Arabidopsis thaliana: one gene and its partners. The protein of the gene in region 1 interacts with the protein of each later gene in a pairwise test. Each region holds a gene or a part of one and is shown in the gene's direction. Other genes may lie near its edges. The genes, in order: AT1G16640, ZFP11, AT3G11580 and VDD.

Evidence for each region.
Region 2: the proteins of AT1G16640 (region 1) and ZFP11 interact in a two-hybrid assay, tested with the Arabidopsis thaliana proteins (one large-scale study listed by BioGRID).
Region 3: the proteins of AT1G16640 (region 1) and AT3G11580 interact in a two-hybrid assay, tested with the Arabidopsis thaliana proteins (one large-scale study listed by BioGRID).
Region 4: the proteins of AT1G16640 (region 1) and VDD interact in a two-hybrid assay, tested with the Arabidopsis thaliana proteins (one large-scale study listed by BioGRID).

Annotation. Positions count from the first base shown.
Region 1 is NC_003070.9:5,682,251-5,689,625, forward strand, and holds AT1G16640 (AP2/B3-like transcriptional factor family protein), read left to right. Parts: upstream 1-4,274; 5' UTR 4,275-4,512; coding exon 4,513-4,578; intron 4,579-4,944; coding exon 4,945-5,283; 3' UTR 5,284-5,477; downstream 5,478-7,375. Other genes in the region: AT1G16630 (uncharacterized protein), read right to left, coding at 1-2,499; AT1G16650 (S-adenosyl-L-methionine-dependent methyltransferases superfamily protein), read left to right, coding at 5,744-5,866, 5,945-6,040, 6,145-6,228, 6,323-6,397, 6,747-6,851, 7,061-7,200, 7,362-7,375.
Region 2 is NC_003071.7:17,654,828-17,661,903, forward strand, and holds ZFP11 (zinc finger protein 11), read left to right. Parts: upstream 1-2,996; 5' UTR 2,997-3,040; coding exon 3,041-3,058; exon of another isoform or gene 3,059-3,180; intron 3,181-3,261; exon of another isoform or gene 3,262-3,262; coding exon 3,263-3,967; 3' UTR 3,968-4,149; downstream 4,150-7,076. Other genes in the region: VOZ2 (vascular plant one zinc finger protein 2), read right to left, coding at 1-78, 215-743, 931-1,134, 1,251-1,454. UniProt on the Arabidopsis thaliana protein: Probable transcription factor that may regulate cell division and growth.
Region 3 is NC_003074.8:3,647,032-3,655,943, reverse strand, and holds AT3G11580 (AP2/B3-like transcriptional factor family protein), read left to right. Parts: upstream 1-4,454; 5' UTR 4,455-4,672; coding exon 4,673-5,249; coding exon of another isoform or gene 5,250-5,365; exon of another isoform or gene 5,366-5,891; coding exon 5,892-6,430; 3' UTR 6,431-6,725; coding exon of another isoform or gene 6,726-6,779; 3' UTR 6,780-6,984; downstream 6,985-8,912. Other genes in the region: TBL8 (TRICHOME BIREFRINGENCE-LIKE 8), read left to right, coding at 8,616-8,912.
Region 4 is NC_003076.8:5,956,773-5,964,671, reverse strand, and holds VDD (VERDANDI), read left to right. Parts: upstream 1-3,029; 5' UTR 3,030-3,198; coding exon 3,199-3,300; intron 3,301-3,558; exon of another isoform or gene 3,559-3,586; coding exon 3,587-3,875; intron 3,876-3,978; coding exon 3,979-4,274; intron 4,275-4,364; coding exon 4,365-4,601; 3' UTR 4,602-4,772; downstream 4,773-7,899. Other genes in the region: SAUR19 (SAUR-like auxin-responsive protein family), read left to right, coding at 1,367-1,639; TRP1 (tryptophan biosynthesis 1), read right to left, coding at 4,991-5,146, 5,226-5,344, 5,434-5,493, 5,572-5,662, 5,746-6,018, 6,133-6,294, 6,407-6,550, 6,903-7,014 and 1 more.

The DNA of each region.
Region 1 (7,375 bases):
ACGTCTCACAGGTGTTATCATCTCTTTCTCTTCGTGACCACTTCTCTTTTGTATCTTCTCATATGTTGTGAAACTTCCATATGAAACAGAACCTATGGAGTACTCTGATGCAGAGGAAGCCATGGATTCACCGCTATCATTACTCTTCTTGCCTCCTCCTCCGCTTTGATGTTCTTTAAGATCATCTTTCTTGTTGCTGCAGCTGTGTAATGGTTTGTTCTTACTGAAGCTGAAACTCATCTCAGAAGGGAATGATGATACCTCTCTTTTTCTGTCATCACCAACTTCTTCTTCTTCTTCCTTGAAATTCAATGAAGAAAGCCTTTCTCTGATCAGATTCTCTACTGGCACATGCTCGACAACTTTAGTTGCAGAGATTGCTGTTGGTTCGCCATCTTCATGTTGCAGCATCACAGGTTTTGTCTTCTTCTTGGCTAATAGGAAACCAGCTGCTACTGCTGCAAGTATAACCATCATAGTCGAAAACAAGACTAACACTTTCTTCTGGCCACTCAACAAAATGTCCTCCGAACCTGCATCATTAACAACTTCACCAAACCCACTCTCTTCTTCTTCTACTTCATTACCGTCATGTTCAACATCTGTAGCTTCTTCTGAAACACTGAGGCTACCTCCAGCAATTTCCCCAACACCTTCTTCTTCTTGTACAGTTTCAACATTGGCTACTCCGGTTTGTTCTTGCTGGTTACTACTGATTGCAGCAGACTGCACATCGTCAAGCAGTTGTGCGTCGGATTCAGCTTCTTCCATGTTATTCTGGTCATTTTCTTCATATTCTTCCTGCCCTTCAACAACATCAGTTTCTTGGCCACCATGTCCTTCTTCAGAAAGAGATTCTGAATACCTTTCACCTCCGTTCACCTCTGTATCTGTAGCTATCTTGATCTCAGCCTGCTCATCACATTCATCAACAATTTCTAAGTTTACCTTTCCTTCTTCATTCTCCTGCTCGACTTCATTATCATCTTCTTCGTAGACAGCTTCAAGACTGATTTCACCACTGTTTTCCGATTCTTCTTCAGGTTCCTGATGACCAACATTCACTTCTTCTATATCCACTTCTAAGCTATCCACTATGAACCCATCAACAATGATTTCAACACTAGTTGACTGGAAAACAGCATCAGACAACCTTTTGTCTTCCAAAAGAACTGTCAAGTTATGAAATTGAAAAGGAACACTTCCCTCCTCTTCTCGTAGACTTGAGACCAGCTTATCAAGATACACAAATGATGATTCTGCCCACATCCTCAGCTTTGCACCCAACTGCTCAAAGTTCTCGCTAGCAGACATTATGATCTCTGGAGAGATGTTAAACTGATAGAAAGGTGAATCTGTGATGGTTTGTTGAGAAAACGTCGTTGAAGAAACCAACAACAGATACGCCACACCAAGAGCCAAAATCCAACCAAGCAACATGGATGTCTTGCTGAAACGAGACTGTTTTGAAATCTGATGAGTTTCTTCTTCTTCAATGCTTTCGCCAACTACTACTTCTTCTTCTTCATCATCACTCTCTACAGCTTCCAAACGCTCTTCACCATCAACATCCAGAATTTCCTCTGCGGCTTCCAAACGCTCTTCACCATCATCTTCTTGTTCTTCTACTGCAACTACACCTTCCTGAGAAGCAACTTCCTCCTCTTGTTGACCTTCCTCCTCTCGTTCTGCAGACAAATCAGTGTCAGAAGAAGAGCTTTCAGAGATGAAAAGCTCCTCAAGCTGCTTGCACTCATCAGAACGATGCTCAATTTTTGGATTTGGCTTATAATGGAGAAACTGAGGCCTCGGTGACAAGTAATTCTTCTTTGGATCATAAGGTGCCACCACTGGATCCACTTCATGAGACTCAAACACAGGAAATGTGCATGGAACATAAGGAGGAAGAGGACTGATCTTGAAGCTTGAATTATCATTACTCTTCCTCTCAAGAATCTCATCGAAATCACTGACAGTAATATCATGTGATTCCTCTTCACGAAGCTGCTTAGTTTCATCGATGCAAATCTGGTCTACATCTTTATCTTCCCCAATGATGCTTATCACATCAGAAAACGAGACAGACGACTTTACCTGAACCTGGTGATGGGATTTGTCAAAGGATCGAGACACTTCGTTTTTATCAGACAAGATCTTCTTCCTCGGCGATGGATTGATCTTGGAAACGGCTGAAATTGTCGGTGACATGAAATGCTTGGAACCTTTTGTTGGACCTTTGACGACATTAGCGATTTGATCCTTGTCGTTCTGATTCTCTTTATCACCAATCTCAACACGATTACTGCATTCTCTACCGATTGAGTTTCTCCGGGACGGATCTGCCGAAAATGGATTGCCTCGGAAACTGCGACGCATCAGATCTCCGGTTTCCGAGTTTCTTTGCTTAGGGTTTGGTCTGGAAGGCATTGAAGGCGAAGAGGAAGAGAATAGAGAAGAAGGAGAAACAGAGATCTTGTTCTTTGCTGGAGAAGACGCCATGAATGAAAATCACTCCGGAAATCAGAATGGGTTATTTAACAAATCTCAGATTTTTTGCGCTCGTTAAAGGAAAGAAAATATGCAAGAATCTGCAAGATTGTGAATGTAAAAAGTTCCTAAGTTTTTGAATTTTTAAAAGAGAGAGAGATAGAGAGATCGTAACGGCTAGTTGCCAATTTGCGATTTATTTATACATAGTGGATAGAAAAATCCCTAATAATTTTAAGTATTGCAAATTGATTCTGATTTTGACCATTTTTCACTGATACCCTAGTTTTCCAAATTTCTGTTATCTCCCCATAAATTTAAGATCTATCTAAATGCCCCATGCTTATTAAAGACTTCACAACGTAAGATTTGATTCCTCTTTCTTCCTGTAAAGTTGTTAAATTTATAAACGTGGATATTTATGGACAATGTAGAAACAGTGGGAAGAAATTAATGATTCTCAAAACCTTGGGGTTCAAATTAAAACAAAATTTCAATTTCTGTAGCCGGAAAATAGAGCAGACGATGTAACTGGGCCGCCACGATGATGACACGTCTGATCGCAGAGAATAAACTAGCCGTTATGGGCTCTCGTAAAGGGTAAGAGACGTTAATCAACCTATTAAAAAGACAGGTAAATCAGAAAAGCAGGCTTTGGGCCCGTCCACTGATGGAAAAAGTGAAAGCACCAATTATGTTGAAGGTTTTTACTTAACGGGCTTTTGACTGACATTAAAGAAAATTTGGTCATCGGCTAACTAAATAGGCCCAGTTTACATTATTTTCTGAGTTCCAATGAAATAAAATCCTTTTCTAAAAGTCATCCTCAAATACCACATCTGTGTGAACCTCATCGACACAAATCAGAATATCTTTCATAATTTTATGGATTTATAACTTATTTTGCGATTATCTGCGAAAGTGATTAATTAAGATGAGTGTTCATGTTGCAGAACTAATCGTTTTCGGAATAACTACCATCAAAATAGTTCTAGACAATTGTTACAATTACGTTTCTAGATTAATTTAGTCCATGAGAATTGAATTCTGAGGGGATTACTTTTCCTTCTTTCAGGCCAAATTTTTGCTATTGAATATCAACCTGTTGATATGAGTTAAATCTGCATTATGACTTATGAACGCAAACGAAGAAAAAAATACCAAATCAATTTAACAACAGAAATAACAATCAGAACTTTGGTATGAAATACTTAGAACCAAATCAACCAATGATGAATTTTTCTCAATCGATTTAAGGCAAATTGAGACAAAACTAAAAGATCCGACAAAATCCGATTCTGAGAAAACAAAATCAACGATTTCATACTAAAAGAAAAGGATTTAAGGGAGAGCGAGATTCAGATGGTAGTGCATGATGGTAAGATCATCAATGATGGTCAGAGTTGGATTGTTCTATGGAATCATCTTTCATCATCATTATCACCGCTCTCTCCTCTTTATTAAGAGTAAAACATCGACTTTAAATCTAAGAAAACACAACACAATAGACAAAATAACTTCTAAATTTTTCCCTAGAAAATAGTAATGAAGCTTCGAGAAAACACTGAATTTCTAGAGCAGACGCTGTTTCGAAGAATTCTGAGTCGTACATCAAAAGATTTGAGGTCTTTAAATAGTGGAGAGAACTCTAGGGTTTTAAGTTGGATCTTCTAGGTCGATAGGATTTGTCTCAGCTCGTTATTGGGCTATTGGGCTGTATAATTTGGCCCAATAGTAATAAGAGTTTGGTTTTGTACTTTTTGTATGGTGTGGCCTTGTAGAATAGAAAAGCAGTGATTGGTCAAAAGGTGGCAAGTTGTTTGACTATGACATCAATTCCTCATTTCATCTTTTTGATTTACAGAGAAAATTGAAATAGTCCACTCGGGACCATTGAAGCTCTCTCTCTGTTTCTGCATTACAAAAAGTGTTTGTTTTCAAGGTTTCTCTCTTTCACTTCTCTTTGTTTTCTTCATTTCAATTTCTGGATTTTGCTTGTAGCTACATTTGGTCTCACTCTATTCCATGGCTGACACTGGTGAGGTTCAATTTATGAAGCCTTTCATCTCAGAAAAGTCATCTAAATCATTGGTGAGCATGGCTCTCTATCTTTCTTCTTTTTTATTTTCTTATTTCAACAAGTTCAAAATATGTGTTTAGTGTTCTGATTTGGAGACTTATGGTTTAGGGTAAATTGCTTTAGTTCATTTTCATGGAGCTAATAACTTAGGTCCTTTAATTGCTTTTGTTAGCTTTAAATTAGCAAAAAGCAAATGAAAGCTTACTGAATCTTGCTAGATTTAGAATGAAGTTTATGTGTTGGTGTTGTTATAGGCTGCTTGAACCAAACATTTCTGCGGGGCTGAAAAGTGAAAAATAGCAAGTCCATTGTTTCTACGTTGCTGCTCTTGGAATGTCTCCTGAGAGTTGTTTTTTTATATATAAATGTTTGATTAGGAAATCCCCTTGGGATTCAACGAATACTTCCCAGCACCATTTCCAATAACTGTGGACCTCCTGGACTATAGTGGGAGATCTTGGACGGTTAGGATGAAGAAAAGAGGAGAGAAAGTGTTTCTTACAGTTGGTTGGGAGAATTTTGTAAAAGATAACAATCTCGAAGATGGCAAGTATTTGCAGTTCATCTATGACCGCGACAGGACCTTTTATGTTATCATATATGGTCATAACATGTGTAGCGAATATAGAGACTTCCCTCAAGTCGCAGTAGAGGTTGATGACTATGAAAACGGTGAAGAAGAAGAAGACGGCGACGATCAAGACAAACATCAGTAACTAAAATTTGGGTCTACTTTAAGTTGCTTTAAGTTTAAGTAGTCAGTTTTCATGTTGGATTTATGTAACCAGTTGTTTAGTTTAAATATTACGAATACTAGTATTTGCTTTCTGCTACATTCTTTGGAACATGGTTTAAAAGATTTACTGTGTATTGCTATCATTTTTGTGATAATTGTATTTGGTGAAGTAGAGTGTTAATACAAGAGAATGAGAGGAAGTGTAGGAGGGGGCATGAGTCAAAACCTTCCGGTGCAGTTAGAGTCTCTTGAAGACTCGGCCACGTGACAATATGGGTGTATTGACAACAGAATAAATAAATGTGGGCTAAATTGAATAAATTAAAATTTACGAGGTATTTTTAGAAAACATTTTGACGGTTAAAAGCAAGTGTTTGCTGTTTGGTTGGCTTTTGGCGGCGGAAACTAGAATCGTTGCTGCTACTCAGGTCATCGGGATAATGAAGAGCAATAAGTTTTCTTGCAAAACGAGAGCCGAAACCCTAGAATGGATCACAGCCATTATCGATTTCCTTAAACCGTTTTCTTTCCTAATCAATGCTCACGTTGTCAATTTCTTCAAGGTATGATCGATTATCGGAAACAATTTTAAATTCAGCTTCGAGTTGGGTTATGAGTTGATTGATGGGTTTGTATTCCAGGATAAGCAATGGGAAGCTGTTAATGAGGAATGGATGAGTTGCTTAAAGGATGAGAAGCCGGAAAATATTCTTCTTATTCCCTCCGGTGGTGTCCAGGTAAAGTTCTGGTCTCAGTCTTCATGATTGAGATATTTGATAGAAAGGGTAGATTTTTATTTTAGTTTGGAAAGGAGATGATTGATTATAGTATTTGATTATAGGATCACTGGCCTGCTTCACTAAAGAAATTTGTTCACACGTTGAGGTCTCTATCGTTTCCTCGAGAGCAAGCGGATTTACAGGCGGTATTGTATTCTCTTTACCTGTTTGTGCTGTTTCAGGATTAGTATTTTTAGATCCTAGACTAAATAAAGTTTAATCATTTTCGACTGTTGGCAGATACTCGCAGACGTGGATATGGTACCTCTTAGCACCGTTCTTTCACAGGGCATGAATCTTAAGAAAAAACATGAGGTACATTTTTATCTTCACACTTCACTATCCAGAGGTGCAAGTCGTGTCTTTCAATGATGTCTTGTTTTGGTAGGAATTTCAGTAGATTGCATCTGGTGACTAATCCCAATCCAAGAACCTTAAATTCAAAAGAGAGTATATATTTTTTTTGTAGCTGTTCAAGTCTTTTTACCATCAAATTCTGGCAAAGTTATCTGCCACTTCACGCGTAAAACATGAAATTGAGGATCATTAACAGCTCATAGCATTTTATATAAAAGTTTCTTAGTACAAAACTTATGTTTGTTTAAACGTAAGGTATTTGTCAAATGTATCTTATACTGGCCACTTCATTTGAATGGATCTGTAGGTCACTTATTATGGTATCATGCAGGTTGAAGTTCTTTCCTCTGTTGTTAGCTCAGTTGTTAAGAGTGTTGGAGCTCCTACTGTTGTTGATGTCGGTGCTGGCCAGGTATCTTCAATCCCTTTCTCTTGTTTAACTATCAATCTTAATTGCATGGTTCCTTTTTCTCGTCTGCATTGGTGAATTCTCTTTTTGGCTGTTTAAGGAATATTTCGAGTGATGGTTTTTCTTTCATATCAGAGTTTTAGTAACTTTGTAGTATATTATAGCTTTCCTAAAGTGTGTTAAATAACATCATTGGTAAATGTTTTGTCCAGGGTTATCTAGCGCAGGTTCTCTCTTTCCAATATAAGCACTCAGTGGTTGCAATCGATTCTTCCTCTCATCATGGAAAGGTAACAGATGCACGCGCAGCACGCATAAAAAAGCATTTTGCAGCACAGATGCGTAAATCTGGGTAAGGGGTTAGCTCATTATAAGTTTATTTCAAACCTTTACCAAGTATCAGATGTCTCTTTCCATTTTTAGCTTGAAGAGTCGCTCATTGTTTTCCTAATTCTTTGTGCACAGTTCTGGTATTTTAGACTTGTGAATGCTACTTAACCTCTTCTCTGTTAGTTCAGGAAACAAGT
Region 2 (7,076 bases), on another chromosome or scaffold:
CATATGCTCTTCTAGGTTTGTCAAAGAAGAGCCACTCTCTAATTGTTTCGCCTTCAACCAGTTCAAGATGAAATAGCTCTGCAAGTACAAAAAATTAAGGGTCAGGCAAAAGTAAGAAACTCACATAAGGCTTCTGTTTTCAAAGAGGCAACGAAATGTTGAACTAAAACAAAGAGAGAAGCAAAACTGGGCTCTAGTGGGACAATGCTCTCACCTGCTGCGTTCCATGGGCATTTTGTGTTAACAGCTCCTTCACACACTGGGATCCCAACATTCTTACCCTGAGTCTTTGCACGAAGAGCATCAATCAATAGATTATCTTTCAAACTGATGCCCCCTGGCCTCAATACAGGTGCTGTGCCAGGCGAATCTTCATTCAGAGCTAGAGTCCCATGGTAGTTACTGCAGTAATCCAGGTACCACTCGGAGCCCTGAGCAGGCCTTGTGCAATCCCATAGTGCACACTTAGGTCCCAGAAAAGCAGATGGAGGCACACGGACACTTGATGGAGTAGAAAATTCAGCAAAGTTGTCAATCTCTTCAGAAGAATCAAGCTTAGTGGAAGGGCTGTTATCTAGTTCCTGACGCACTTCGGAGAAAATATAATCATACTGAGAAGTTATATCCAAGTTGCTGCTGAGTTTTTGGTCATGGAAATCAGGAGCGGAGTTTATGCTTGGATCAAACCCTTCATATCCATAATGGAGTTGCTGGCCATGTGTTTCTGTGCTATTAAGAGCATCCTGAGATAGAAAAGGTGAACTTGTACATAAGGAAACAAAATCAAAACTAAGACAAGAATGAAAAAGATCAAAACTCATAGCTGAACTGGAATAAAGAATCAACGGTGTTCAAATGTCTAGGAACATCTAACCAACAATCAAAAGATTATAGAAGACAATTTTGACGCAGAAACTGTATCTAGCTCACCTCAAAGCCGCAGGAGAAATTTCCGTTGAAAGGACTTTGACTAAAATTCTCAGATGTCCATTCAGGAGGGCACAAGCTTTGAGAAAAACCCTCAGGATCAGGCTTTGCTCCAGCATGTTCTTTTAGCGTACTAGTTGCATCATCCTCCTCGTCTAATTTCAACAGAGGAGCAAACTCCTCAAGGAATTGGCTAATACCTTCACCCTGCAACATGTTAAAGACCAAAAGAGCTAAATCTCAACCAAGCTTACAGATTCACTATTTTTCAAAGAATTGGAACCATAAACCATAGAGAAGTATGGTAATGGAGTAGGACGAACCAACAGAGAAGATTCAGGAGAAGGAGCAGTGAGTTCAGCTTGCCACTCCCGAATATTCTGAGAGATTTGGGCTTCTAAAAGCGCAAGGTCACCATGCCGCCCTTCTTTCCTAGCAGCTTGAAGATGACAGAACCTCTCCTGAAGTTCCCTTAGCTTCTCCTCCACATTCTGATGCGCCGATGTGATCTTCGGGTGGTTTGACATCTCCTCTAAACCCTGACCAAAACCATTCTCAAAAATCAACTAAAATCTTAACCACAAAATACCTTAATATTCCGATTCTCATGAGGAAGGAAACAAACACATTACCTTAAAACCAAAGCAACAGAGATTGGTATCTCTCTCTCCTTCCTCCGATCTCTGGCTATTCATCACAAACCAAAACTGATTACTTAATGGAAGGTATTGAGCAGAATTCACGACAACAACAAAGCAAAAAAGCATTTTTTTAGATCAACCCAATCCTAAAACAAACCATCAGTTCCATTAGAGTCTATACAAACAAGCAAAATTTCAACCCTAAATTCATGAAATCGAACAAAACCCTAACATGAGTCTGACTAATAAATCCATAAAATTGAGAAGAAATTCGGATAAAGTTCATACTTTTTCGATATGGATGGATACAGAGAGCTTCTTCTTCTGATGGAGACGAAGAAGACACCGGAGATATCGCGATGAAGAAGAAGAACAAGGCTAAGTTACGCCAGCAAACAGAGAGCGACGATTTTGATTTTCTCGTTTTTATTTATGAAACGCCGCGTTTCATCTTCTATTGAGGGGAGGGTGTCTTTTATGATTTTCCCAAAAACAAAATTAATAAAAAAAAACTTTTAAATTTTCCAAATTCAATAGATATGCATTAACTAGATGAAGATTATTTTTTCAATTCTTAGAGATTGGTCAATTGAGAAAACTTTAATGCTTGATTAAGGAATGAGAATAAAATTTGATAAGTTAAAATTTGTCACACAATATATATTTGACAACCGAAATTGAGTTCCTCAACCCATAAAGTTGATATGCTGATAGGGTTATAATTCTATATCCACCAATTTTGTTTACACTTGTCTAGATGTGGCATACGATTGTTAGCGTTACTGGTTTATTACTTAGTTTTAAAGTAATATGTAAGTTTTCTTAGTTATGGATATAAGCTGCAATAACTCTGAAGACATCAGGGACGTCATTGTCTATGTCCTTAATGCATACACAAGCCTTGTTTCTTTCCTTTACAGTTTCTTCTAATCAATGTCAAAATCAATTAGTAATAGTTTTGGTTTCTTTTGGCCCTCCATCACTATTCACTACAATCTCTCCATATCAAAAAACTAAACACATGTTCATATTTTTAGGCTATCTTGTGTGTATATAATAGATGTTCAAATATATATAATGAAGAGATTTGTGGAGCCAGAGATGGAATATGATGAAAATGAAATGGCAAGTTATCTCCCTGCAAGATTTTGACACAAAATATTAATGCAACACAGAGTTCCCATACCACAATAACATTGGTCTCAAGTAACTTCCAATTATAGTAACAAGCAGACACATTGCAGGCATATGAGCATCATGAGTTAAGTAGCCTCTATTCAATTCCTCTTTCTCTCCCTCTTAATCATGAAACTACCTCTTTGTCTCTTTCTTTCTCTCTTTTTATTTTATTTTTTTAAATAATTTCCACTCATGATATCTAATCGAACATAGCCTAGCCTATACTCATTATTCTCCAATATATCTGACCAAACATGTAACAGACTTAAACCCTAATAAATGATCATCCGTACATGCACCTCCTTCCTCAAGTAAGGATAAAAACCACCTTCTGTTTTTGTTTCCCTTTTGACTCTATATAACACATAGTAACTCCTCCGTAGTTACATTCTTCCTTAGTTCCTCATCAAACTCAAAAATCTCTATCTATACGGTTTTCATCATCCCCCACTCTTATTCTTTCTCACTTTTGAATTAATATATACATACATAACATCTTAGTTTATTTCATGCAGGGGAGTATCATACTATCTTCATCATTCACCACCAGCATTGATCATCATCTGTTGGAAAATATGAAGAGAACACATTTGGCAAGTTTTAGTAACAGAGACAAAACCCAAGAAGAAGAAGGAGAAGACGGTAATGGTGACAACAGAGTCATCATGAATCACTACAAGAATTACGAAGCTGGGCTGATCCCATGGCCTCCCAAGAATTACACTTGCAGCTTCTGCAGGAGAGAGTTCAGATCTGCTCAAGCACTTGGAGGCCACATGAATGTTCATAGAAGAGACAGAGCAAAACTCAGGCAGATCCCTTCTTGGCTCTTCGAACCTCACCACCACACACCTATTGCAAACCCTAACCCTAATTTTAGCTCTTCTTCTTCCTCTTCAACAACAACAGCTCATCTTGAGCCTTCCCTAACCAACCAGAGATCCAAAACCACTCCTTTTCCTTCTGCCCGGTTTGATCTTTTGGACAGTACTACTAGCTATGGAGGTTTGATGATGGACAGAGAGAAGAACAAGAGCAATGTATGTAGCAGAGAGATCAAGAAAAGTGCCATCGATGCATGTCATTCAGTAAGATGTGAGATAAGCCGTGGGGATCTGATGAATAAGAAAGATGATCAAGTCATGGGGTTGGAGCTTGGGATGAGTTTGAGGAATCCCAACCAAGTTCTTGATTTGGAGCTTCGACTAGGCTACCTCTAAATTCTTTTGATTAGCTAGTATTTGTACTTCAAAATTATATCTAGTATAATCATGTTTAGCTGAGCAGTACGTGAGCTAGAGATTGTGATTGCATTCAGGCTAATGGTATTAAATAGTATTAGGCTTAAATTTATTGGAAGTCAAAATGAAATTAAAGTTGAAAAAATCTCCATATGATTTTTTTATCAAGAGTGTTCAACAGTATATGTGTTATTTTCCTAGTTTTTTCAATCAAGAGAAGATTTTTAAAAGAAAACAACGATGTTATAATTTTTTAACTTTATTAATTGTGTTATTATTGGTTATAAATTTGTCAATTTCAATCATCCCTAATGTTGTTATACAATATGAAACTGTGTAGTAGAATTACGTGCAGTATAGAAGCTAGAAATTAGGATTAGAGAAAGTGGGTTGCATGTGTATGTGAGTATTAAGAAAGACAAAAAGTGATAAAGATTGCATTATTATAGAGATGGGTTGATGAGACACAGACGCATGCGACAAAGTGGTACTATGAAACATATAAAGATGGATGATGATCAATTGACTCATGAATAGTTAATGTTTTCATCTTTTACACTCACCATCACATCTTTATGTATAATTACATATATCTAGCATTTCTCATGCATGTCGTGAAAGCACTTAATGGTATGTGTGCGTGAAAAAAATGAAAACAATTTTCTCATTGTTGAGAAAAATGTCTTTAAATTATTCCACATTCAGTTTATATATAGTCGAAAGCCTGAAGAACCGTTGGAAGATGGAGAATTCAGAGTTGTGAATGTGACTTTGATCAAATTCGTGTGCCTAAACAAACGAGAGTTTGTTAATCAAATTAAATGCCAGGCTAATATCTAAATATGCCTCAGTCAAATTCAACCACTCATATTGACCAACAAAATGTTACTATTAAATTAAAACAATTTTATACTTCTTTGATTCATCACACGTGTGAGTGTGGATGGATATGTAGTTCAAAAAGAGACTTCATCCCTAGTTATTTCTTCAAATAATAATGTCTCTTTTCGAATATACAATCAAAAACCATTAAATTTGAACAATATTCAATTTTGATGGCATGTGATTATACTACTTTTTTTGGTCATGGAATTCAATACCATATCAACTATATTTATACTAAACATGAATGAATGTAGAGAGTACAGACAGATCAAGAGCCAAGAGTGTAGGAGACAAGATTAGAAAATTAGAAAACAAGTGATGTGAAAAGGAAACAAGAAAATGGAATGTTTGGTCAATACATTTGGGATGTTTGTGGTTTCCCCATGAACAAATTTAATCTGACATTTTCCATCTTCCCCAACAATTTTAATTTAATATATACAATCCATCATCACCTTTCCTTTTTTAGAATCGATCACTTTCCACTCTAATCTCTACGTTCCCTTCAATTCTTCCCTTTTCTATGAATAATAATTACAGTGAGTTTATTTGTGTTTGGGTGATGTGAAAGGTAAGAGATTTTCATCATGCAGCCTAATATTTTTCTACTTCTTACAAATGTATCCCCAAGTTTTAGTGTTTCTTACAATAATCACCTTCCGTTGCAATTCACTGTCTTAAATAGATTTGGTTCTAATTCTAAGTTCTAACTTCTAGTTATGGTGAGGAATTTATTTGAGCAATCCTAGAGATTATTTGGCTAAAACTGTAAACACTTATAGGTTTTGTTAACTGTCCAATCACATTGACTTCTGTCTCTATCTCAAAATCACATGTTTTTAGTTATGTCTTCTCACCGGTTCATTCCAACCCAAGAATCTTTTTATTTTGTCTGAGGTGATTGTTCTGATGGAACCGCGTGACATACAAAATTATGTTCTCATATGAATTATGATAGAGTAAAATGTGATAGAGTTTGTCATCCTTCGACCAAAGAATACAAAAGAAAATTGAGATGTATCAATTAGTGTGCGAGGAACCTATAAATTTAATCTTTGGAAACGCCTGGACATCGAAGCACCAGTGGTCTAGTGGTAGAATAGTACCCTGCCACGGTACAGACCCGGGTTCAATTCCCGGCTGGTGCAATTTTTTTAACAAACCAACGCCCAACATCGTAATGAACCTATGTGGGCTTTAACGGCCCATTTTGCTTTTCAGTCCGTAAACACTAGGCCTTTTTTATGTGTTATGTTGTCCTTCCTCCCAACCACATGATTACACTCCTTGAGTTCAAAAATTTCTCTTATGTTTCTTTTACCGATTGTTTCATTTAGTTATTCTTACCAACATCTACTGGTTAAAATTTGCATATAGCCATGGGAATTCAAATATCTGGAACTGAAATTCGAAAGCGACGATGCAATGCAAATAAAATATAGGATTTATTTGTGAACTAAAAAAGTATTTTAATGATATTTGGAAAAATCGAGAAAGTCCGAATGGGAATTGTAAGTTTTAAACACAAAGAGACATTTTTGCTTTAGTCAGGCGTGATGGAGAAAACTCCCAAGGGATTTAGTTTTCCCTCGAGTTAAGTTATTATGTCATTAAACATTCTTCTGTAATTTATGATCTAAACCGGAAAAGAAAAACGGGTTAGCGCAAACTGCAATTATCTCAACTAATTCTTAAATAACAGTAATTATGATCCCATTGCTCAAGTGTTTTAGTAGTCTTTTAACGTTTAGTTATGTTACTTCACTGTTCCAGTAATACGTCCTAAATTATCTCGTACTTCAATTTAGATTACCATGAACTACAATGTTAAATTGGGATTATGGGAACATAATTACTAAGATGTTTTGAGACAATTAAAACTTTTAAAATATTGACAAATAATTAGTATATTCTTTCAGCCGATATTGATTTGAATTTATCTTTTTTTTTTTCTGGAACATCCAATAAAATTAAAACGATTAGAAAATGGCTTAGCATGGTTCATGCACATAAATGAAATACATAAAAATGATTTTATTTCACTAAATATAATTCAGCTAACTCATTTGCAAGTTTGATAACATGACTGTAGTTGAGAAAAAAAATGAAACTATAGTTAATTTGGTCTTGTTTCTCAAATTTTCGGTTGCTTATTTGATTTTTTTTTATTTACATGATAACAAACTTACCAACTATAACCATA
Region 3 (8,912 bases), on another chromosome or scaffold:
AGCAAAAGTAGCAACTTACCCCTGAGTTTCATGAAGCTTCTCGCACCATTCACTTTCCATAAATGACAAACTAGGTTTGTCGTCTTCTGAACATTTTTATCAAAATTTTTTTTGCAGACTTATCATTTTAGGAACCCTCCACGAATTACATGGCAGATTCCTCTCGTGTCTTTCCTTTGTGCTCAAGATATCATTATAATCCTATATATTCGTGTCTATGTCGTGTAATATGTCTATATACCCATGAAACACACTTTAATCTGTAATTTCAAATCCAAAAATGTTTTGTGATATTACATATATAGATGGCACATGCGGCCTTAGATCCAAAAAAAAAAAAAGAGATGGTACAAGCAGCCAAGTGGAAATCTTCTAAAACATTTGTTTTAAAACTTGTGGTAGTAAGTTGTTTTGCTTTGTTATTTATTTTCCACTAATGCAACAGTCACGTAAATTATGTGATCGTGGAAAACTGAGTGATTTGTTTGTTATTTCGTCCAAACGCCATGACTATATATAATAAACATTATTTTTGTCGTATTTCTGGAATACACGCATAAAGTAACAATCTCCGTTTTTCGAGCTATGACCTCTAAATGTCACAAAATTCTCCAGTCGTTTTGTGATCTAAACCAAAAATCACTTTCGAACACTTCATTTCTTCTGTTATTAAGGAGTAAATATTTCAAACTTAAAGAGGTTTCATTAACAAATTATTGAAATAAACAATAGTAGTTTTTATCAAAAAAGGAAAAAAAAATAGTAGTGGTGAAAACCAATTATGGAAAGAAAAAATACAATACGTTTTTTTTTGGATCTGTGCTTGAGAGGCAACGTCGCATTCGTTAGAAGTATGGGAATCGTGTTATTTTAATCAATAAAGTAGCTAAGTTTATAGGGTTTATATGGATTTTGATAACAGGAAAAAGTCATCATATTAAAAAAGTTGAATTGACGAGTTTGGTGAGAAAGTTGTGGCATCGTTCGGTGACGTATCTAGACAAGCTGTAGTGTTTGTTGAAAAGGGCGATTAATGTGATTAAGAGTCTTGTTGGAAAGTTTGTTCGCAGAAGAGGCTAAACTAATTAAAATTAACATGTGTTTATTAATATCACAAGTTCATTAATCTACATTTCTTTTGCACTAAACAATTTTTTAATCACGATGAAATGTTGTGAAGGGTAATAAAAATATTTGACTATGAGAATGTTAATCACGATGAAATTTTGTTTAATAGTACTAATTTGTACTCCTTCCGTTACTTTTTCTAAAATATTTTAGATAAAACACAAAAACTAATAAAATGTGATTTATTATATAACCAAAAATAATTCAACCAATGAAAGCAAGTACTGTAGATTTTGGATGATCATTTAAATAAACATAAACTTTGTCTAGTGAATTGAAAAAAATCAAATAATATGAACAAATAAAAACTTTTAAAAGAAAACGGATGGAGTATCATTCGTTAATATTACCAAACTAATAACATGAATTAGAAGATTTCAGTCAACTTTGTGTTTGTGTCTTATATATGTTCTAATATTAAAAAGATGTAATTTCTTCCATAATACATTATGAAATCAGAAATGAGGTTTGCTCTAGGATGTAGGTACACTAAGTGTGACAGGTCAATTATACGACGCAAATCAATTTAGTTAGGTGATTGAATACATGATTTAGCATTATTGACTAGCTAGGATCGGGAAGCTAGTAAATCAAACCCAATTAACAGAAACTCTTTATCTTGTTAAATTTTATTTTTCTAAACCTGGAATCTAATCAGTCAGTGGTTACTGGATCAGTGATTGTCTAGTAATACATTCATTTAAGATAGGCTGTTCATATATAGTAACTTCTAAAAAATCGCCATTTTACAAAAGAAAGCTTAATATTTGATGGGAGACGTCGGTAGTATAGTTTATTTTTTAAAAAATTACGATGCGTAAACAAAAAATTCTGATACACCTGTTTTCTCTTATAATTTTTTAGTAGAAAAAAAGACGAAGTAAGCAAGCGACCAACAACCTCTATTATTCGTGGGAAGGGATATGTCCCCCAAACATGTGCTATATTCATGAATTAATACTTAACAATTAGACTAGTCTTACTTTTATTCAATATTTATTCGAAAATATACTTACGAAAATAAAATACTTTAACTTATAGTGAATTGAAGAGTTAGTTTAATTTGATATTAATGGGGTCGAGTTGCAGACGTACATGCAAAAAGGTGCCTCTAAATCGACCTGGAAAATCATGTCAGTTTGTCCTTCAGTGCCTCTTTTAATTATGCAAAACTAATATTTGACAATGACATATCTTAGACATAATTAACATGGATCACTACAAATTTTATTTTATTTTATATCACTTATTTTGAATCGATTAAGTGTGAGGAGAGGAGTGAAACACGTCAAATATAACGAATCTTATATCTTTGTTTTTTTTCTTTTATTCTTACAATTATCTTGGAATTTGGAAACCCTAGTTGTTTCGGCTATTTGTTATACTATTGTTATAACAGTCACAAGACTTGACCTCAACGAAAACTTTTACAAAACGTGAATTGGAAATTTTTACAAAATATGCTCTTAATCGTTAATGCTTCCCAATTAGGTGAGTTAAATTGTGAGAGGAACCATTTCTTAGAGGAAATGGTTCATGAAAACAAATATGAAATAGTATCACTAGTCTTAGTTTTGCGAGAAAATTAGGAAAAATAGAAACGTGTAAGCACCAATGATATTCCTGAAAGCACGTGACAGATATTTCATGATCCTATAATTAACAAGTGATAAAGATATTAAATAAAATTAACGATACTTGAGAAATTCGTCAAATAAAATAGAAGAGGACCACTCACGTAACCATTTGCACGTCCCATTGATTTTTGTGGTAGACTTGGTATGTTATATTACTTATATTCACAGAATTATATACGAAACTCACGACTTAAGATGCACGGTAATAACTACAGATGGAAATTTACCCATCAAACAAGAAAACAACATTTACTCAAGCATCTAGCTAGACCAAAATGTTTGTTTACTTGTTGACTTGCGATCCATAGATATATTAGTTAGAACTTTTTCTTCTACAATTGATCAAATGTTTCACACTGTTCTCAATTTCTCATCTAGATTCATGACTTATATGTTTGGTCAAATATCACAGCTTGATGAGCATTAAATAGCGTCGAAGTATAGGATGGTTACGTTGTTCAATATTGTAAAGGAAAAAAAGAGAAAGAGTGCCAAAAGGTCAAGTCGATTTCACAAATAAATCTTGAAGTCTTTATCCCTCTCGATTATAAAATGATTAGGAAAAGAAAAAGAGAGAATAAAATGTAGATAAAGAGAAAGAGAAAGAGAGAGAGGAACATAAGGGATGGTATGAAGTAGAAGTGAAGATGCATGCGATGGTGTGTCGGAAAGGCAAAGCACATGCTACACAACTTGAGCTTCTCACTTGCGTCAGGGATAAGTATCCTCTGTACCTTCTTACTTTTGCGTAATATGTACCACCTCACTTCTCAACCGTTTGATCTTTAATCCTTCATTATTTCTTCATTACCTTCTCTTTTTGTTTTTGTTTTCGTTTTCAATTTCTCATAGATTCATTTACAAACTAAATATCATAGGAAGGTGTTATCTCTAGTTAATTTCTTATCCTACTTTAACAAAATTTAATTGTCAAAAGATTATTTTTACGTTTATAGACAAAAGATACTGACACATCAATTCCACGAACCAAATGGTTGAGAAAAACAAAACGACTATCTTTGTCTTGCAAATAAATTAATGGCAGTTAGTAAGATTCTCAGCTGAAAATTCATACAAGAGTAAATGATCAAATAACCATTTATGAGAGAAATTTAATCCTTCAGAAACCAATGAGGATCTGATCAAGTAATTGCAAACCACATGAGTCCATGATAAAGGATTGTTTGACTTACGCAATCCACATATTTATGGCTGCTTGATATGTAAGGTTTATCTGCTTTGACAGTCTATAGAATCTTGCTAATCAATACGTCATATCCGGTGAATACTGAAACTTTTTTAATTAAGAAAACACAAATCATCTTTTCTCCGGAGGATTTCGAATTTAGTTCCGGCAATGCTGAAATAACATATGTTGAACTTATAACATTCCAAGACATCAAATTTTACTAATATATAAATAATTACATATTCTTCTTCTACATGATCAAAACCTTTTCAACTTTAATTAAAGGGTTACGTCGCGGCGTTTTGTGTGGCTTACTCTTTTTTTACACTATAACTATAGAACACTCGTGGATCCAATGCCGTTTAGGACAAGATTTTATCAGACGAGAAAAAAAAAAACAATACCACATTTTTAAATATATATGGATTATGGACTGCAACAACAATATAGAAAAGAAGAGAAAAAAATAAAAATAATGATTGAAAGGAAATATCATCACGCAAAACCTTAAAAGTACTATCGGTATCGTGTCGTCCTCTCCTCATCAAATAGTTCCCACAGTTTTCACATCAATTTAACCATTTTCAATTTTTTTCACTCTCTGTCTCTCTCCTTTGTATAATACTATATTAGTACCATTACCCATCTCTCTTTCACCACCAAACCAACACCTGCAAATCCTCTCTCTCTCTCTCACTCCAAGAAACCAAAAAAAAAGATGTCAGTCAACCATTACCACAACACTCTCTCGTTGCATCATCACCACCAAAACGACGTAGCTATAGCACAACGAGAGTCTTTGTTCGAGAAATCACTCACACCAAGCGACGTCGGAAAGCTAAACCGCTTAGTCATACCAAAACAACACGCCGAGAAATACTTCCCTCTCAATAATAATAATAATAATGGCGGCAGCGGAGATGACGTGGCGACGACGGAGAAAGGGATGCTTCTTAGCTTCGAGGATGAGTCAGGCAAGTGTTGGAAATTCAGATACTCTTATTGGAACAGTAGCCAAAGCTACGTGTTGACCAAAGGATGGAGCAGGTACGTCAAAGACAAACACCTCGACGCAGGCGACGTTGTTTTCTTTCAACGTCACCGTTTTGATCTCCATAGACTCTTCATTGGCTGGCGGAGACGCGGTGAAGCTTCTTCCTCTCCCGCTGTCTCCGTTGTGTCTCAAGAAGCTCTAGTTAATACGACGGCGTATTGGAGCGGCTTGACTACACCTTATCGTCAAGTACACGCGTCAACTACTTACCCTAATATTCACCAAGAGTATTCACACTATGGTAAATTCAAACCCTTTATTTCCTCTTTTGTTTTTTCTTTCTCTCTTATCTATATGTCAGATTTATACTCCTCTCTGTTCTCTTTTAAGATTTGTCTTTTTCATAAAAATAGATGATTCGTAATTTGTATTGCATATTTACATGTTCTCTTAAAAAAAGTAATAGAGATTAATATTTTATGCATGGTATTTTAGATTATCTGCCTACTTTATATGGTAGTAAACAAGAACATTCATCTTTATTTGGTTTTATAAACAAAATATGAGAATTTTTAAAGGTTAGGGCAAGCACTTGGAAAGCTCAACCATTTTAGTTAGCTGGTGGAATATCTTTCTTATAAAAAGCAAATGAGTTATCTAAAACTATATGACAATTATTTTAGTTGCGTGTGTAATGTATATAAAATAACAACATGAAATAACATTTTGTCTTTTATTTTTGTCATTCTTATTATTTAATTTTGGACCCGACAATTTCAAATAATCTTCTCCAAGTTGTAACTAATCCGTTACATGCGCGTGAGGAGAACCGTCCAATCCACTTAGACTAACGTGCCCTTTATTTCTTCCTTTTAATTCTATGTTAAAAAAACAATTTAACTAAAAGATGCGCACGTGTCTTGACGGTGGAAAAAAATTGTAGGCGCCGTCGTTGATCATGCTCAGTCGATACCACCGGTGGTCGCAGGTAGCTCGAGGACGGTGAGGCTTTTTGGCGTGAACCTCGAATGTCATGGTGATGCCGTCGAGCCACCACCGCGTCCTGATGTCTATAATGACCAACACATTTACTATTACTCAACTCCTCATCCCATGGTAAATATTTTTTTTTTTTACATTTTTGTCAGATTCAAATTTTTGCTTACGTATGATATAATTATTAAACAGATGTCGTGGCTGTTTCTCGAGACGAGACAGATGAAAATTAGTAATTTTAAAATAGACCTGAAAGAGATTTTTATGTTTAATAAATTATATAAAGGAGGAATCAGAGAGAATAATACTATACACTTGACTGTAAAACCACATGGCCAATTTGGTTTTTATTTGATTACTTTGATTTGTTTTGTTTACTCTTTTGTCTCTGTAGCCTCCTTTTGTTCATTAATTAATATCAGCCGTAAGTATATAGTTTCCTGTGAAAACAGTCTCTATTTTGGTTTTACTATTCTAATTTGTTAGGCACCGTCAGTTTTTTTTGTGAAACCAAATTATTGACTAATAAGCTGGAAAGCAAAACTGACTAAAAGCATTACAAACTTATCAATGACATAAGTTTTGAATTTATTACCATGTTTTGTAATGTTCAGATATAATTTGAAATGCTTAGAATTATATATTTGTATACTTAAATTAATGAAATAAAGTGAATACTAAAGATAGTTTTATTTTTCATATTATTCTATACAATTCGGTGTACAATTTGTTTTTGATGATAATAAAAATAATAAAATTGCGTGTTGGAATTGTGAAACAGAATATATCATTTGCTGGGGAAGCATTGGAGCAGGTAGGAGATGGACGAGGTTGATGACTGACATTCAAAAAGAAGTGACAACTTTCTAGATTTTTAACTTTAGAATTTAGATTATGGGCCCATACTTGGCCCAATTGTCATAGAGAAAAAATGGACAAGAATTAATATTATTAGTAGCTTCGTTATGTATTTAGTATTTAACTAATTTGAAAATAAAAATAAAAGATGAGATTTTGTTTCTATTGTACATTTGAGTCAGAACAGAAAAAAAAAGTATATGCAAAAGATGTGAATTAGTGTGGGTTTATAGTAGTTGATATTTGAAGGCTAAAATAAAACCAATGAAAGCTTTCTATAGCACAAAAGTCATTTGAGGGCAGGTACCCCAAATTGGTGAGCTAGGCCTAGGCTAAACCTTATACACATGTAGCATGTATTTGATGATGAAAGATGAATTGGGAACTGTTGAGAGATTCATGTGAGGAGATTACGAGAAGAAAAGGTGTGGGCCTAATTACGAATGATTAAAGAAGAGAGAGCATATTCATATATAGCATGTGTGTAAATATATAGGTTGTGTTACATCGCCTTTTATCTCTTTTCCAAAGCCAAAGCCAGGGACCATTTTATTTGTTGCTGTGTTACTTACACTCTTCTTTTGATTCTCTATTTTGTTTTTGCATTACAAAGACAGTGTAAAAGGAATATGAATCATTTTTACAAGCTATGACAAAAATGGGTTTAGGTCCCAATTCTTTCTATGCATTTATGTTTGTCTTCGTGTTTCTGCATATATATGAGTGTATTGGTAAATGGTAAGTGGCAACACAAACGCAAGTTTCTGTTTCTATATATGATTAAAACATTCTAAAACGGCAACACAAACACAAGCATAAACACAAACAAACAATCATGACTTTTAGTCTTCTTTATTCTCTATTTTTTTTTTGTTTTTTTTTTAATTCTCTAATTCTTGTTTCTCCTCTTCTCTCTGTTCTTTGGTTTCTTTAGTGCTCTTCAAATTAAAGAGTTTTCGGATATTAAATCATACAGAGTGTAGTAATTACCTTTGTCATTTGAAACATTTCCATGTAGAAAAGAGAAGATTTTATTACTTTTGATAGTGTTCCCTTGTTTATATAAGTTCACGGACTCGTAATTAAATCAAAGCCATCTTGTGAAGGTAAAGTCTTCACATACTTGTATGAACCTTTTCATATTAATATGCCTTTTTAGTGTTTGTTTCTTCACTCTTATAGTTGTTTCGTCATTCCCATTAATGCTCTTTAGTATAATGATTCACCAATAGGGATTTTTAAAAATATTGAAATTGTAAAGCAAATCAGCATGTGCTACTTGTGAGTGGTGGTAATGGATACTCGACCATACCCGAAAAGTTCGGTCCAATTTAATTAATTATATCTATATACACTATATCTGCGGGCTATTCCTTATCTATATTAATATGGTAGGCGAAGAAATTCAACTTAAATCTCTCATCAACTATCTTTCATCATAGAATAACGATTAGGACAATGCATTGATTATTATCATTAGATTAGATACTCAGAATCATCAAATTGATGTATAAGGAAATTAGTTTGCTATACTACAGCTTTAATATATTGGGAAATTAAAACTCGTCTCGATCTAAAAGATATAGTAGAAACGAACATGGGAGTAAACTTCTATTACTATACGTTAATAAAATTATGTGGGATGCATTTGCATTAATACTTTTGTCTGTCACATGGATGAATTGATGATGGATCTATAAATTAATTTATTAACGAATTTATTTCCCTACAGAAACATATTTATTAAGACTTTTCTCTCGCAAAAGAAGATCGCAGCATATTCACATTTTCACGTCTCTTCTATACGACATACATGGATCATCATCAAGAATCAAATCCTCTGAAGGAGATTTTCTCTCTATCTTCGTCTCCTTTCTTCTCAACGTTGAAAATCAAGAAACATATATTTGTTGGGATCTCTCTTCTCATCACCTTCCTAATATTCTCTGTTATCGTCGTTGATCTTGCCGGCTTCGAGCCTCATCTCTGTTTCGGATTCTTATTGTCGCCCCGAACCCTAACGAAGGAAAGAGGAAACGACGACGTATGCGACTATTCATACGGAAGATGGGTTCGTCGACGCCGTGATGTGGACGAAACCTCTTATTAT
Region 4 (7,899 bases), on another chromosome or scaffold:
CGTACGACAAAAGCAACCAGAGAAATCACAACCAAGAACCACAAGCAAATGTAGCGAACTCAAACCCTCATGAAGTCTAGTTTAGCTTATCGTTGCTCGTCTTTTGTATCCACATTCATTTATCACGTTAGCATCTGGACGACAAAACCATCTAAACTCTCTTCTTATGTGTCCACTCTTACATCCACAAGTTTCAGAAGATTTCCGAGAGGCTTTTAAATTCGCTCAGGGAGTGCTAAAAAGGGTTTCTTGTAGTATACGAAACTCTCAAAACATCAATTCTAAGATGTGAGAAAGTGAAAAAAAATTGGTTATTAAGTGAGTGTCTTTACTATGCAGGATCATATTGATATACATTTTTGGTTATATTCCAAATATAGATTTTCATAAAATAATAGTTTTACATAAAATAGGTGTTGAAACTGTCCTTTTGCTTGTAGCCTCTACAGAAAAGCCGATAATCTTCTTTGAACTCAAGAGGCCTCTGAACAAAGCCATTTCTTGAGTCTGGAAAATCTAAATTTGAAGCTTCTGAGAAAAAGTTAGATGCTCAAAATTTTGAGGTCTGGATTGCTTCACTACTTGGTGAAGAGTTGGTTCTGTCTCTGGATGTATAAATAGATTGATAAAAGACTTCAAATCACCCTGAAACCATTCAAAGTAGGGGTGAGACATACACAAAGATAGTTTCACATGGTTCTGTTTTTTAGGTATGATAGATGACAAGTTGACAACGGAAGCTAATGAGCATTATCATCACTTCACAAGGGTCTGTCTTCTCCATGTCTGTATAATAAATGAAGAGAAGAAGTGAGGTATTCAGTCTCTTTTAGTTTTCATGTGTGGATATAATCAAAGAACAACTAGAGAGTGACATTGAATTGTTGTTCTGTTGTTGAATAACATTCAGGTCCCCACTTTAACTTCTTAATAAATCCATTTCGACTGCAGAGATTAGAGTACTATAGGACAAAGAACCAACCACCTAATCATCACAGAACCTGCTGTCTTTGTTCTTGCAAATATAGGGCACGTCTTATCTCAGAAACATTGAGAAAGCAAGCCCTTGTGAAATTTCACATGGAGATTATTTAAGTAGATAAATTTCATTAATGCATCTTTTCCAGATGGTAAAGACAGAACCATGTGAACTCTTGCTCTAGTCTGTCCCACGCTTCAAGACCACAGTTTCAATGACTTTTTCAGAGAAGTTTCAAATCGTTCATTGATATTTCTATATATACACCCATAACCCCATTATTTCTATCATCAACCAACAACAAGCATTCCAATAACTTGAATCTTTTCATACATCTTCAAGAGCTTCATAATAATTCAAACTTCTTTTATTTAAAATAAAATAAAAATGGCTTTCGTGAGAAGTCTATTGGGAGCAAAGAAGATTCTAAGCCGCTCCACCGCAGCAGGATCTGCGGCACCAAAAGGGTTTCTTGCGGTGTACGTAGGAGAGAGCCAGAAGAAGAGATATTTGGTGCCGCTCTCATACTTGAGCCAACCGTCATTTCAAGCTCTGCTCAGTAAATCCGAAGAAGAGTTTGGGTTTGCTCATCCGATGGGTGGCTTAACGATCCCTTGTCCCGAAGATACTTTCATCAATGTGACTTCTCGGCTCCAATGAAGATGATCCAACATTTTTTCCTTCAGTTAGAAATAGACTTATTCATTGTAAATACATGAGCTTTTTTCTCTTTCTTCTTGAAAGAGTTGTTCTAAAAGTGTAGAAAGTGAAATACAAAATTAATGTTATATACAAACTTCATGTCAATACATTTTTGATCGCTCATTGAAAAAGAAAGACGACACCAAATTCATCAATCAAAAAACTACTCTAATTATAGTTTCATGTTGATTAAAAACAATTAAGTGGAACATCTAACATCCGGATCCGTGGCGCAATGGTAGCGCGTCTGACTCCAGATCAGAAGGTTGCGTGTTCGATTCACGTCGGGTTCAATCCCCCGAACTTTATTCCGGATATCTTTTTGTTTTACCTGCTTATTTCCAATTTTTGCCTTTTGATGCACTACCCCCGGTTCGGGATTCTTGTTACTCTAACCGAGAATTTCAGATCCGGTTTTAGTATTTGTTTGCTACTCTGAATTAGACGGAAACAAATAACAAATGACCACTTTTAACTTACACAATTTATCAGTGGCTGGCTCTTACGTATAGTGTGGGGGTTACATTTAGTTGATGTCTCCAGTGACATTTGATTATAGTTTTCAAGATATTGTCAAGCAAAAAGGAAAAGAAATTTACTTTTGAATTCCAAACTTCTGTTTGTATTTTATTCTATAAATAACATTGCTTTCTCCTTCCAAATAATAAAGACAAGTATACATTGCCCAAAAAGGAAAACTATAGAGACACGCACTAGTTAGGGTTGATGTGGACTGGATCCGATCCCTTTCTTCAATGATTTATTGATACGTATCTGTTACGCTGAATATACATATATGCATGTTTCTTTTGGTATTTTAGAGTACTAATGTATATTCTATAGTTTGATCCCAAAAAAAAACATGTATAGTCTGTAGTATTTTTATTTTTTTAGCTAAGTTTTCAAACATGTAGCTTGTATAAAGTTAATAGGGGTATGTGCTGGACACAAGTCTACATTCTACAGACTAGCTAGTAAATATTAGGAATGAGGTTTTCAAATGGGTGATTAACCAAAATTTGCCGTGAATGTATTTTAGTACAGTATAAGTTAATTAATAGTTTATGCAACCAAAAAAAAAAATATGGAAATATGACGCTGTCTTTTTAGAATTCAGTTACTAAAAATAGGAATTTGCTCTGCTTTTTACGTGTCTGGGAAGTCACGAGCATATTGCTGTTTCTGTGTATCATTACGATATCAAATTACGAATCACAAAAGTTTAATGATTCATGGGAATCTTTTCCAACTAACCACAAGTAAAATTAATTTCAAAGTTAATGCAGAAAAATAAAACACTTTGGCTGTTTTTAGAAATTAAAGTTTTAAGAGACCTCTCTTTTTACCCATTCTTTGCCCACAACCAGAGAGAGAGAAAGAGAAGTAGCGAGTGAGTGAGATAGAAAAGTTGAAAAGAGAAGATGCGAGTGAGTGACTGAGGAGATAGAGTGAAGAGGATTAAAGAGTTAAGACTGAGAGGTTTTGAAGAAAGATCATATCGAAGGAGAGAAGCAGAGATGGTGAAAAACAAAGCTTTTTTTGGTCAGATTATGGAAGAAAGAGATAATCCAGCATTCTTCAAGATTCTTCGAAGGGAAGATCATTCGACTGAAATGATGGTAAGCCTTATCACTTATTTTCTTATTAGCCTTTTTTCTTAAATTAAAGATCGAATCTATTGGTTCTTCAGTGTGTCTCTTGTAGTGTCCTGAACTTAGATCTGTCTGTTCTTGGTCTTAACTAAGTTTTGATGTGTGAAATGATCGGATCGGACCAAATGGATTTTGACTGTACATCGATCAGTAAACTTTTATTTACTGTACTTATCACTGAAATTGAGGAATGTGACTTCATTTTACCATTTCCTGATGTTCCATATTTCTTGATTTTGTTGCCTCTCTGAAGAGAATGATTCCTCATCACTTGATAAGAAGCATCTCCGACAAGTCTTCATCGTTTAAGATGGTCTTAAGAGTACCATGGGGAAGGTCATGGCAAGTTAAAATCTCCAAGAACCCAAATTTTCACTACATGGAAGATCGTGGATGGAACCAGTTTGTGAATGACAACGGTTTGGGTGAAAACGAGTATCTTACTTTCACTCATGAGGCAAATATGTGCTTTAATGTAACCATATTCGAGGCAGATGGTACGGAGATGCTTAGACCAAGAAAAACCATTACTTCTAGTTCCGGTAAGTGTTCATCATCTATGTTATTGCTTTCTTTATGCTTAAGAAGAAGAAGAAGAAGAATACAGTCATTAGTTACTTCTGTGGTTGATTTTGATGCAAACAGGTCGGAACAAGAGAGAAGAGAGGAAGAGCATCTACAAAGATGTGAAGAAGGAAGAAGAGATAGAGTCTTGGTCTGAATCGAGCCATCCTTGTCACAAAACAGCTGAATCTACAAGTGGGAGATTGACGCAGAAACAGGAGCTTAACTTGAGAAAGAAGGAAGCCGATAAAACCGAAAAATCCAAGACGAGTAAGAAGAAGAAGGTGGAAACTGTTAGTAACGACTCTGAAGCCGGTACTTCATCTCTTATTCCAGAATTCAAGCTCACCATAAAGAAATCACACCTTCTGTTCTTGGTAAGATTAAGCAAGACAAGACCAGTGACACACTGTCGAAATGGCTATGTATAAAAGTGTGTATTAATCTAATGAAAATCTGTGATTCAGGGGATCCCAAAGAAATTTGTGGATATGCATATGCCAACTGAGACAACGATGTTCAAGATTCATTATCCGAGAGGAAAGAAGTCATGGGATGTTACATATGTGGTCACTGATGTACAATCAAGATTCTCTGGTGGATGGAGTCGTTTGGCCAAGGAGTTAGGTTTACTGGTCGGAGATGTTTGTACGTTCAAGCTCATCAAACCGACAGAGATGCGTGTGAAAGTCTCCAAAGAATAGACACCATGACGATGATGATATTTTAGGTGTAGTTGCAGAATTAGTGAAGAACTTCGGAACAAGATTATGGTCTGTGATTCAATGTTAGGACTAATTTTATAATTTTGTTTTTCTACTTACTACTTAGGTTTGATTTGTATCCCAATGATGAATCTGAACTCCGTTTGAGTAAAACAGATTTATTCATTTTATTAAAGATTATTGTTGTAGTGTTTACATGATGAATGTGTATAGAGCTCGCTCCGGTCTCTTCTCTTTATTGTTTGACAAAGAAAACTTAAGTTACAAATAACTCCAGCTTCTTCCTTTGGCACATTGCCTCCATCTTCATCTACAATTGCTTGCAAAGGTGATCCGTTGAATACAACAATATCATAAGCCTCTTCTGGTCACTGAGATTTCTGAGCTAAGTTTGAGATGTTTATCCAAGAATCAAGCGTCTTGATAGCTTTCCCAGACGATTGTACTTCACGTGCCACGGTTACTCCTTCAGCTAGCGTTTGAACTCGGTTGCTAACCAGAAGAGCTGCAGCTGCGTTTAGGATCTGAAACAAGATTTTGAAAAAAAAGGATGAACAAATTGCAGAAGTTCAGAGAATGTTGAATCGGCAAATCAAAACATACCAATGAATCCGCAATTGCTCCACTTTCCCCTGAAAGCACACGTCTTAGCACATCCGCATTGTAGTCTGGACCTCCACCTCGCAAATCCTCAAGAGTACAACGAGGAATACCAAAGTCCACTGTCAAAAAGAAATAAGCTTCAATTTCATTAAGCTGCATCTGCAATATTCATTTTAGAGAAGGGATAAAAAGCTAGAGGAAACATTACATGGGTCGAATGAGAATTCTTCGATCTTTTCCGGAGTTACATCATAAACTAGTCCTCCTCCTGTTTTTCGTTAAGCCATGATTGGTTAATAATTGTTCAATAATAAAAGTAATCAATTTTGGGAAGAGATAATCTTACCTAACGGACTCATTTCGTCTAGACCACATGAATGAACCACCAGTGCTCTTTTCATTCCAAATCGTTGCAGTGCCTTTGCCATCTTAACAACCTATGAAACCACACAAGCAAATGGTAAGTAAATGTCTTGTTTTTGTTGATGAACAAACTAATTTCAGCAATAAGTAAATGTACCAGATCTTTGTGGTATACACCAACGACAGCATAAGAAACTCTAGCAGGATTAAGCATAGGTCCCAATATGTTAAAAACAGTTTTAATTTTAAGCTTTTTCCGAACAGGACCAACGATCTTCATAGCTGGATGATACATTGGTGACATCATAAAACCGATCCCCCCTTCTTCAACACATCTTTTAATGCCCTCTGGTCCCAAGTCCAGAACCACTCCTAGTGCCTCTAGTACATCAGCACTTCCACAAGCAGAAGAACTTGAACGATTCCCTTGCTGCAAAATAAGTATCCATTAGTTAGACGACCAGACGAAGATCATTTAGCATTAATGCAGATAGTCAAAATTTAAATATATCGTTTCTTTTAAGGATTTTCTCATTCGTTATACCTTTGCTACTTTTGCACCACAAGCTGCAGCAAGTATTGAAGATCCAGTTGATATATTGACTGTGTTTGCTCCATCACCACCTGTTCCAACTATGTCCACAGCATCAACTAATCCTTCCACTTTCCTGGCATGCTTCATCATTGCCCTAGCTAACCCCACAATCTACCCAATATCCGAATTAAAGTGAACGTTGAGTTAACTTATTGAAGTGCAGTAATATAGGATTATGTATACTTTTTTATTATAAGCCTAGATTGACTTAATGGATACTTACCTCTTCGTATGTCTCTCCTTTAGCTCTCAGAAGAACTAGAAAGGCACTGATCAGCGCCTCGTTTGCCTCATTCAGCAAAAACTCAAGAGATGATTCAGCCTCAGTTTCAGATAGATCAACCCGATCAATCAAGGTTTCAATCAACTGAAAGAAAAACAACAGAACAGAGCAAACGCAGTATGAGAACATAGTAACCCCATGATTTAAATCTCTCTCTTCAAAGCCATTGGAAAATCACCAAAAGTAAAACTCTTTTAAAACCTATAAAGTAGTACACTTTTACTCAAGTCAATAAAACCCATCAAGCAATTAAAATGAAATTCGAAGAACACACAGGGCCAAACATGTTTAGTCAGCATGAAGCCAATAACTCAACCCAACTCAGAAATACAGATACAGATATATAAAAACCCTGAATTGTTCACAAATCAAGAGACTTAGAAACAAGGGATCATCAAACCACAAACTTATCCTGAAAATAGAAATGAAGAGTCACCTGGTTGAAAGATTTAATGGAAGAAGGGCTAGCATTTGCACAAGCAGGTGGCAGAGCTTCAGCTGCACTAAATCCACCGCTCAAACCGAGATTCTGAGAGCAAGCGAAAGAGCTGCAGCAATTCAATGGATCAAGAGCACAATCAAATGACCACAAACAATTTCAAAGGATGTGTTTTTACTCTAATAAGCAGACACCTAAACCCAAAAATCGAGGCTTTACCTGCGACTAAAGGAAGATTGAGCATCCCCACGAATTGGGGAAACAGCTCCGATCGATGAGAATCGTCGCCGACTCAATGTCGGAAAAATTCTAACTCCGGTCAAGTTGCTTCTTCCGCAACTACTGGACGCATCATCTACGGCGTTGAACGAAGTTAAGATCCCTGAAAGCTTGATTCCGGAAACAATGGAGCTCGTCGTCGCCACCGCAATAACCATCACTCGATTGCTCAACCAACACAGTAGAGAAAAACTTGAACGAAGGAGAGATTTCTATGATGGTTCGTTCCTTCCTCTCTAATAAAGCAAAGCGCCTTAAACCAAATCTTAATTAACTTTTAACTTTTGGTCTTTTTGCTTATAAAGGGTTTCCAGTTTAGTACTCAGTATTTTATTTTTTTCTTGAAAAGTGTTTATTTTATTTTATTTTGGGTTTCATATGAATATATTTGTTGATTACTGAATGACTTAATGCTGCTTTGACTAATGGACCTTTGAAATTTCCAAATTGAGTTTGGTTGGTGGTAGTTGGTAATGCTTGGGCAGTGGATAACTCCTTTTGTTAGTCACCAACAACGATTTCCTTGTGTGCTTATTTCCGCACATTTACCACTCTGCTCAAAAAGTAGGTTCATCAATTTTGTCATACCAAACACTTCTTTGTTTTAGACATGGTCAAACACAGCACCTATAATAGGAAATCATATAAAAATCCATTTAGTGGCCCATTATAACCCAATAAGGCCCAACAAGGTTAAACGACCCAAACTATATAT